Saccharomyces cerevisiae S288C: one gene and its partner. The protein of the gene in region 1 interacts with the protein of each later gene in a biochemical or structural test. Each region holds a gene or a part of one and is shown in the gene's direction. Other genes may lie near its edges.

What was found. The genes of interacting proteins can lie anywhere in the genome.
Region 2: of the proteins of MRD1 (region 1) and HMT1, one has a biochemical effect on the other in vitro, tested with the Saccharomyces cerevisiae proteins (one study listed by BioGRID).

Annotation. Positions count from the first base shown.
Region 1 is NC_001148.4:748,692-753,454, reverse strand, and holds MRD1 (RNA-binding ribosome biosynthesis protein MRD1), read left to right. Parts: upstream 1-1,535; coding exon 1,536-4,199; downstream 4,200-4,763. Other genes in the region: ALE2 (Ale2p), read right to left, coding at 1-154; PIS1 (CDP-diacylglycerol--inositol 3-phosphatidyltransferase), read right to left, coding at 536-1,198; serine/threonine-protein kinase DBF20, read right to left, coding at 4,455-4,763. UniProt on the Saccharomyces cerevisiae protein: Involved in pre-rRNA processing. Required for maintaining steady-state levels of 40S ribosomal subunit. Required for the initial processing of pre-rRNA at the A0 to A2 sites, leading to the processing of the 23S pre-rRNA intermediate to the 18S rRNA.
Region 2 is NC_001134.8:304,366-307,711, reverse strand, and holds HMT1 (protein-arginine omega-N methyltransferase HMT1), read left to right. Parts: upstream 1-1,735; coding exon 1,736-2,782; downstream 2,783-3,346. Other genes in the region: pyridoxamine-phosphate oxidase PDX3, read left to right, coding at 757-1,443; EDS1 (Eds1p), read right to left, coding at 3,009-3,346. UniProt on the Saccharomyces cerevisiae protein: S-adenosyl-L-methionine-dependent protein-arginine N-methyltransferase that catalyzes both the mono- and asymmetric (type I) dimethylation of the guanidino nitrogens of arginine residues in a variety of RNA-binding proteins such as heterogeneous nuclear ribonucleoproteins (hnRNPs) and small nuclear ribonucleoproteins (snRNPs).

The DNA of each region.
Region 1 (4,763 bases):
AAAGAAACCAAATATGGTAGAATATAGCAACATAAAAAATTGAGTGCAAGTTGGAGAGAATCGCTTCCGACTTGATTATATTGCGATTTGCCAAGAACGGAATCACCGTGGTCTTAAATAATTCCGGTTGAGGAAGCGACAATAAAACATCCATTTTTTCTTGTAGGCAATGTTCACCTTCGTGCTTGAATTCCTTCCGGGGGGGGGGGCAGAAGCTTGAGATAGAGGAGAGGTCTTCTTCTTTTTCTTTTTGATCTGTCCAACAAACGTTTTTTCTCTCTCCTTGGCTTATGTTAAATATGCCCTCGGGAACTGCTCGAAAAAAACAGGAAAAAAACCGCGTTGAGAAAAAGTACCAACAATATGAAATTTTTCGTTTATTTGAGCATTTGTTGTGCCAAGTATAATCAAGACGATAGAGTAGGCTGCTTTTAAAGTTAAATCAACGAATGTTCCATTTCACATAAATAAAAACTACACATAAATAAAAGATTAGCGCAATTAAAAGGAGAAAAAAAGTAAGAAACTCATCCTATCAGTAAGTCTTGTTCTTCTCGTTGGCATTCTTGGCATCGTTGTCTGCTAAAATCAAGGCTGCCCTTTTTAGCTGGACAACGTTTGCGGTCTGCTTGAACACGTAACCAGGGAAACTTATGATTGTAGTCCATTTACCAAAGGTTGCAGAATTTGAGAACAACTGCAAGTACAATCCAGCATAAAATAGTTCGTTAAACGCACAGATAGTGAACAGTACGTCTCTTCTCGTGTAGTACAGGTGTAACAATCTGGACTCACCCTCGCCCACACTTTTATGAGAAGTCTTACCAGCACTTAAACTGGCATACATATGCATGTAGTGACTAGTAATATCCAAGCCCAGCATTAATTGGAAGAAAACGCACCATTGGGGATACTGCACACAAAGGAAACACATCAAGCCAGCGGTACTGGATCTGTCGGTAACCATGTCCAGAACGGCACCCAGACTGGAAACCTGATTGTACTTTCTTGCCATGGTTCCGTCTAGCGCATCCAGTAGACATGATGTACTATACAACCATGTAAAGGCCGTAGGATGATTCTTCATAACGAAAAAAGAAAGGGCGGCGGTGATAACACGAACATAACCGATCTTATTGGGAATATACCACAGAACGTGTTCTGCAGTAACCTTTTCTGGTGTTGAATTCGAACTCATCTTGTACTATCACACTTTCCCTCTTATTTACATTACTTGAAGGCTCCACAGTGACGGCAAATAAACCATACCACCTCTCATGTTTTTTATGTTTTACTTATATACTAAAAGTGAAAAATCCTCGAGACGGAAAAAACAATAGGAGGGGCTTTCCCTATTGAGAAATAATTTCCGTAATAGGGATTTACGTGCGGAGCGACGTGAATTTTATAAAATGAAAAAATTTTATGGAAATTTAGAGCTCATCTCATCTCATCTCATCGGTACTTCATATGCAAAGACTGCAACCTGAACTGAGATTTAATTTGAGCCTCAAGCACAAGATAACATAACTAACATGTCCCGTATCATTGTCAAGGGTTTGCCCGTCTATCTAACAGATGATAATCTCAGGGAGCATTTTACAAAAAGATTACGTCAAAAACATTCCCATCAAGCAGTTAATGGTAGTGGTCCAGACCTCATAACAGATGTTAAAATTCTTAGAGATAGGAACGGAGAAAGTAGAAGATTTGGATTTATCGGATACCGTAACGAGGAAGACGCTTTTGATGCTGTAGAGTATTTCAATGGCAGTTTTATCAACACTTCTAAGATAGAAGTGTCCATGGCTAAAAGCTTTGCAGACCCAAGAGTCCCGCAGCCCATGAAGGAGAAGAGAAGAGAAGCTCTGAAAAGGTTTAGGGAAAAGGAAGAAAAATTGCTACAAGAAGAAAATCGAAAGAAAAAGAAAGTGGATGAAAATAAGCACAGCAACATTGATGACGAGATTCGCAAGAACAAGCAATTACAAGAGTTCATGGAGACTATGAAGCCAAGCTCACAAGTCACATCATGGGAAAAAGTTGGCATTGACAAGAGCATAGAGGACGAAAAACTAAAACGGGAAGAAGAGGACTCCAGCGTGCAAGGGAATTCTCTATTGGCTCATGCATTAGCCTTAAAGGAAGAGAATAATAAAGACGAAGCACCAAATTTGGTCATTGAGAATGAAAGTGACGATGAATATTCGGCTCTCAACAGAAACAGGGATGAAGATCAAGAAGATGCCGGAGAGGAAGAAAAGATGATAAGTATTAGCAATTTGAAGGATACTGATATAGGTTTAGTTAATGATGACGCTAATAGTGATGAAAAAGAGAATGAAAAGAGGAGAAACCTCGCCCAAGATGAAAAGGTTTCTGACCTAGATTGGTTCAAACAACGCCGTGTAAGAATCAAAGAAAGTGAAGCGGAAACAAGGGAAAAATCATCATCATACGCTACTGAACAAAATGAAAGTCTCGATACCAAGAAGGAAGAACAACCAGAACGTGCTGTGCCGCAAAAGACGGACGAAGAACTGGCTATTGAAAAAATTAACCAAACTGGCCGTTTATTCTTACGTAATATCTTGTATACCTCCAAAGAAGAAGATTTCAGGAAACTATTTAGTCCATTTGGAGAGTTAGAGGAGGTTCATGTGGCTTTGGATACCAGGACTGGTCAATCCAAAGGATTTGCATACGTTCTATTTAAGGATTCTAAGAATGCAGTGAACGCCTATGTTGAATTGGATAAACAGATTTTTCAAGGAAGACTATTGCATATTCTTCCTGGTGAAGAAAAAAAAAGCCATAGATTAGATGAGTTTGATTTAAAGAATATGCCATTGAAAAAGCAAAAGGAATTGAAAAGGAAGGCAGCTGCATCCAGACAAACATTTTCTTGGAACTCCTTGTATATGAACCAAGATGCTGTTTTGGGTAGTGTGGCAGCCAAATTGGGTCTAGAAAAATCTCAATTGATCGATGCTGAAAACTCAAGTTCGGCTGTCAAACAAGCTTTGGCTGAAGCCCATGTTATTGGTGATGTTAGAAAATACTTTGAATCCAAAGGTGTTGATCTGACCAAGTTTTCACAGTTAAAATCTACAAATCAAAGAGACGATAAAGTGATACTGGTTAAAAATTTTCCTTTTGGGACAACTAGAGAAGAGCTTGGCGAAATGTTTTTGCCATATGGTAAATTGGAAAGATTGCTCATGCCACCAGCTGGTACAATAGCTATAGTGCAATTCAGGGACACAACGTCAGCAAGGGCAGCTTTCACTAAACTATCGTATAAAAGATTTAAGGACGGCATAATATATCTAGAAAGGGGGCCTAAGGATTGCTTTACTAAACCAGCTGAGGCCGATGATTTGATAAATAACACTTCTGCAAAAGAAGAAGAAAACCCGGTAGAGGTAAAACCTTCATCAAATGACTTAATGGAAGCAAACAAGGATGTAACTGAAGGGTCATCTAATGCTCATGATGAAGACGTTATTGATGGTCCAACTGTCTCAATTTTCATAAAGAATCTAAACTTCTCCACGACGAACCAAAATCTTACTGATAGGTTCAAGGTTTTCACTGGTTTTGTTGTTGCCCAAGTGAAGACAAAACCTGATCCAAAACATCAAGGCAAGACCTTGTCAATGGGGTTTGGTTTTGTAGAATTCAGGACCAAGGAACAAGCTAATGCCGTGATAGCTGCAATGGATGGGACGGTAATCGACGGCCATAAGATTCAATTGAAGTTATCCCATAGACAAGCATCTCAGAGCGGTAATACAAAGACTAAATCCAATAAGAAAAGCGGTAAAATCATTGTTAAGAATCTTCCATTTGAAGCTACTAGGAAAGACGTTTTCGAATTATTCAATTCTTTTGGTCAATTAAAATCTGTTAGAGTTCCAAAGAAGTTCGACAAGTCTGCAAGAGGTTTTGCGTTCGTGGAATTTTTACTTCCAAAGGAAGCAGAAAATGCTATGGATCAGTTGCACGGTGTCCATTTACTGGGCCGCAGATTGGTAATGCAATATGCAGAAGAAGATGCAGTTGACGCTGAAGAAGAGATAGCCAGGATGACAAAGAAGGTTAGAAAGCAAGTTGCCACTAATGAGATGGCTGCCTTAAGAAATGGGGGCGGTAGAAAGAAACTGGATGTGGATGATGAAGAAAACGAAGGTTTCTAGTTTACCCTATCAGCTTATCGTATTTTTCTTTCATAATTTACATTTTATTTGAATATATAAATCATATTACTACTTTAATAGCATAAAACTCTTCAAAACATCTCATCCCGAAAAAGATTACTAAACTTAAAAATTACATGTTGCCTTGGTTTCATAATTTTGGTAATCATTCAAAATGGAAAATGTTAGCACATCTTGTTGCTGTTGTCAATGTATCTGTTATGCTATACAAAATTAAATTGTAGGGACGTAATCTTAATAAAAAGTTGAAAAAGGGTCTGAATGTTCTGAACCATTGTAAAGTATCCCGCTTGAACCTTGTTTTCCATCTCTATGCCTAAAAGTAAATCCAACAAGCTTGGAATCAACGGCAGAGTCATCGACCATTGCAGATAATTTGTTCTGTCTTTTGAAGACATCTGCATATTTAGCCATATCTTCTTCATTTGTGAAGTCATCGAAATAACCTGCATCCGTTTCATCATCTAATTGAGGAATAAATGGTGGAGAACTTGTTCTTAGGGTTTCAAAATTGATCTCTGCGAAATAAGACATTTTGCGAAC
Region 2 (3,346 bases), on another chromosome or scaffold:
ATGATGGAAAACTCAAACGTAGAATGTACAAAAAACACGGACTGAAAAAAAAAAAAATACGATTAAGCAAACGCAACAGCCATTGACATTTTCATAGGGTACCTATCTTCCTCTCTAGTTTTATTCTCAAACCAGAAAAATCACACTAAAAGCTACAAAGAAGGTCTTTTAATTGAGAACCTTGAGATCTATATGTCACCATTGCTAAAGAGGAAGTTTTTTCGCGAGTTCGCGCGCTGAAAACTTTTCTCCCATTTCCTTTTTTTTTTATTTTTTTGGCGTTTAGATATAAAAGCTTTAGCAGGATTGCTCTTCCTTTTCACCACACATATAGTGATATAAAATTTATTTATAAACTAACACAAGTAAATATACAACACCCAGTATTTTTGGCTGCCCGTGTCTTTCTCTACCACGGGTAGTCTCTCTAAGCTGGCAGATAGATGTTTATTGAACCGCTTAAGTTCCGTTGTGAAGTTTTCGTCTTTCAGGCTGTATTTCATAACACTACTGTAGTTCACACATACACATGCGTAATGCCCCAATCTTGATAAACAGCACATACAAGTAACAGCAAGTCTGCTTAGCAGCCAGATAGAGCTCTTATAGATGCCACCAGAACCAGCGCCGGGTAAATTGTAAATACTAGAAGGGGCCGCAACTTATAAGAAAGAAGAAATGACTAATTTGCATGATTAGATATTTTAAAGATACTCTACCTAGACCAGTAGTACACTTCACGGATCTGCACTGAAAATGACTAAACAAGCTGAGGAGACCCAAAAGCCAATCATATTTGCTCCTGAGACGTATCAATATGATAAATTTACTTTGAATGAAAAACAACTTACTGACGACCCAATCGATCTTTTCACCAAATGGTTCAACGAAGCCAAGGAAGACCCAAGGGAAACGTTGCCAGAAGCAATTACTTTTTCATCCGCGGAACTACCTAGTGGGAGGGTGTCGTCCAGGATTCTTCTTTTTAAGGAGCTCGACCATAGAGGTTTTACTATTTATTCTAACTGGGGAACCTCTAGAAAGGCTCATGATATTGCTACCAACCCGAATGCGGCAATCGTATTCTTTTGGAAGGATCTGCAAAGGCAGGTGAGAGTTGAAGGTATCACAGAGCATGTTAACAGAGAAACTTCTGAAAGATACTTTAAGACGAGACCTCGTGGATCCAAGATCGGTGCATGGGCTTCCCGCCAATCGGATGTTATCAAGAACAGAGAAGAACTAGACGAGTTGACCCAAAAAAACACCGAACGTTTCAAGGATGCTGAAGACATCCCATGTCCAGATTATTGGGGTGGCTTGAGAATCGTTCCACTGGAAATTGAGTTCTGGCAAGGTAGACCCTCGAGATTGCATGATAGATTCGTTTACAGAAGAAAAACAGAAAACGATCCATGGAAAGTCGTTAGACTAGCCCCATGAGGGACTGTTAATGAAAAATTCAATGTAGGATCTATTTAACACCATATAATTCTCTCATTTTCTATTTTATACTGTATAATGAATCTTTTTATACCGCCTATAGGGTAATATGTCAGAATATACCGAGATGAAAAAAAAGAAAAAGGAATTCCGAAATTTGGAAATGGCGGGAAAATTTTTTCACAAAGGGAAATTATATGTTATAAAAATAGTTGAAGAGATGAGCTGCCTACTGCTCACCTTGCCGTTTCCAAAAAAGAGTTAGAACCGACAAATTCATCCAAAGAAAATAATGAGCAAGACAGCCGTGAAAGATTCTGCTACAGAAAAAACCAAGCTAAGTGAAAGCGAACAGCACTACTTCAATTCGTACGATCACTATGGTATTCACGAAGAGATGCTTCAAGATACTGTTCGTACCTTATCTTACAGAAACGCAATTATCCAAAATAAGGATCTTTTTAAGGACAAGATTGTTTTAGACGTCGGTTGCGGTACCGGTATTTTATCCATGTTTGCCGCTAAACACGGTGCGAAGCATGTTATCGGTGTTGATATGTCAAGCATTATTGAGATGGCGAAGGAATTGGTAGAGTTGAACGGATTCAGCGACAAGATCACCTTGCTAAGAGGCAAGTTGGAGGACGTTCATTTACCCTTTCCTAAAGTTGACATCATAATTTCTGAATGGATGGGTTACTTTCTACTATACGAGTCCATGATGGACACCGTTCTTTACGCTAGAGACCACTATTTGGTAGAAGGCGGTCTGATCTTTCCCGACAAGTGCTCCATTCATTTGGCCGGTTTGGAAGACTCTCAGTATAAAGACGAGAAGTTGAACTACTGGCAAGACGTTTACGGGTTTGATTATTCGCCATTTGTTCCGTTGGTCTTACACGAGCCCATCGTCGACACCGTGGAAAGAAACAATGTCAACACCACCTCAGACAAATTGATCGAATTTGATTTAAATACAGTAAAAATATCAGATCTAGCGTTTAAGAGTAACTTTAAATTGACGGCCAAGAGACAAGATATGATTAATGGTATAGTCACCTGGTTCGACATTGTTTTCCCTGCACCAAAGGGTAAGAGACCTGTTGAGTTCTCCACTGGTCCTCATGCTCCATACACTCACTGGAAGCAAACAATATTTTATTTCCCTGATGATCTAGATGCTGAAACTGGTGACACCATTGAAGGTGAATTGGTTTGCTCTCCAAACGAGAAGAATAACAGAGATCTAAATATCAAAATTTCTTACAAGTTCGAATCGAATGGCATCGACGGTAATTCAAGAAGCAGAAAAAACGAAGGTTCTTATTTAATGCATTAAGACTTTTGTTTGCTGGAGAAAGAAAAAAATTTGAAAAGCAAATAAACAAACTTGTTCATATTATTGACGCGAATATGTGTACTTTGTTACCCTTTTTTGTTGGTCGTGTACCAAAATTAGTTTAGATATATGACTTTGCATGTCCTTGTACTATAGTTTTTAAAAGAAAAAATCTACTTATCTATCCTTCATTAGGATGCTATTTTTCACCTTGTTATCATGAATATTAGTTAAAGAAGCAACAGCAACAACCCAATTCTGAATCATCCATCAATTTCCAACCTATGTCGGCAAACTTTTTCAATATCTTTTTGTTTTCTTCCTCCGATGGCGCAACGTTTGAGGCGTTACTAGCTGCACATTTTCCGGAATACATGCTCTTCATTACCGATTCGTAGCATCCGGTACTACTTGTAGCACTTACATAGTAACGCTTAGCACGGTCATGTGCATTCTTCCTAAAAGGTTCTAGGGTATTAAATAGTGCGGTTATTTGCACCAATTCGTTCAGCGCAGTTGACAACGTCATAATTCTGTCATTTATTCCCTTGGCCATATTTCCAT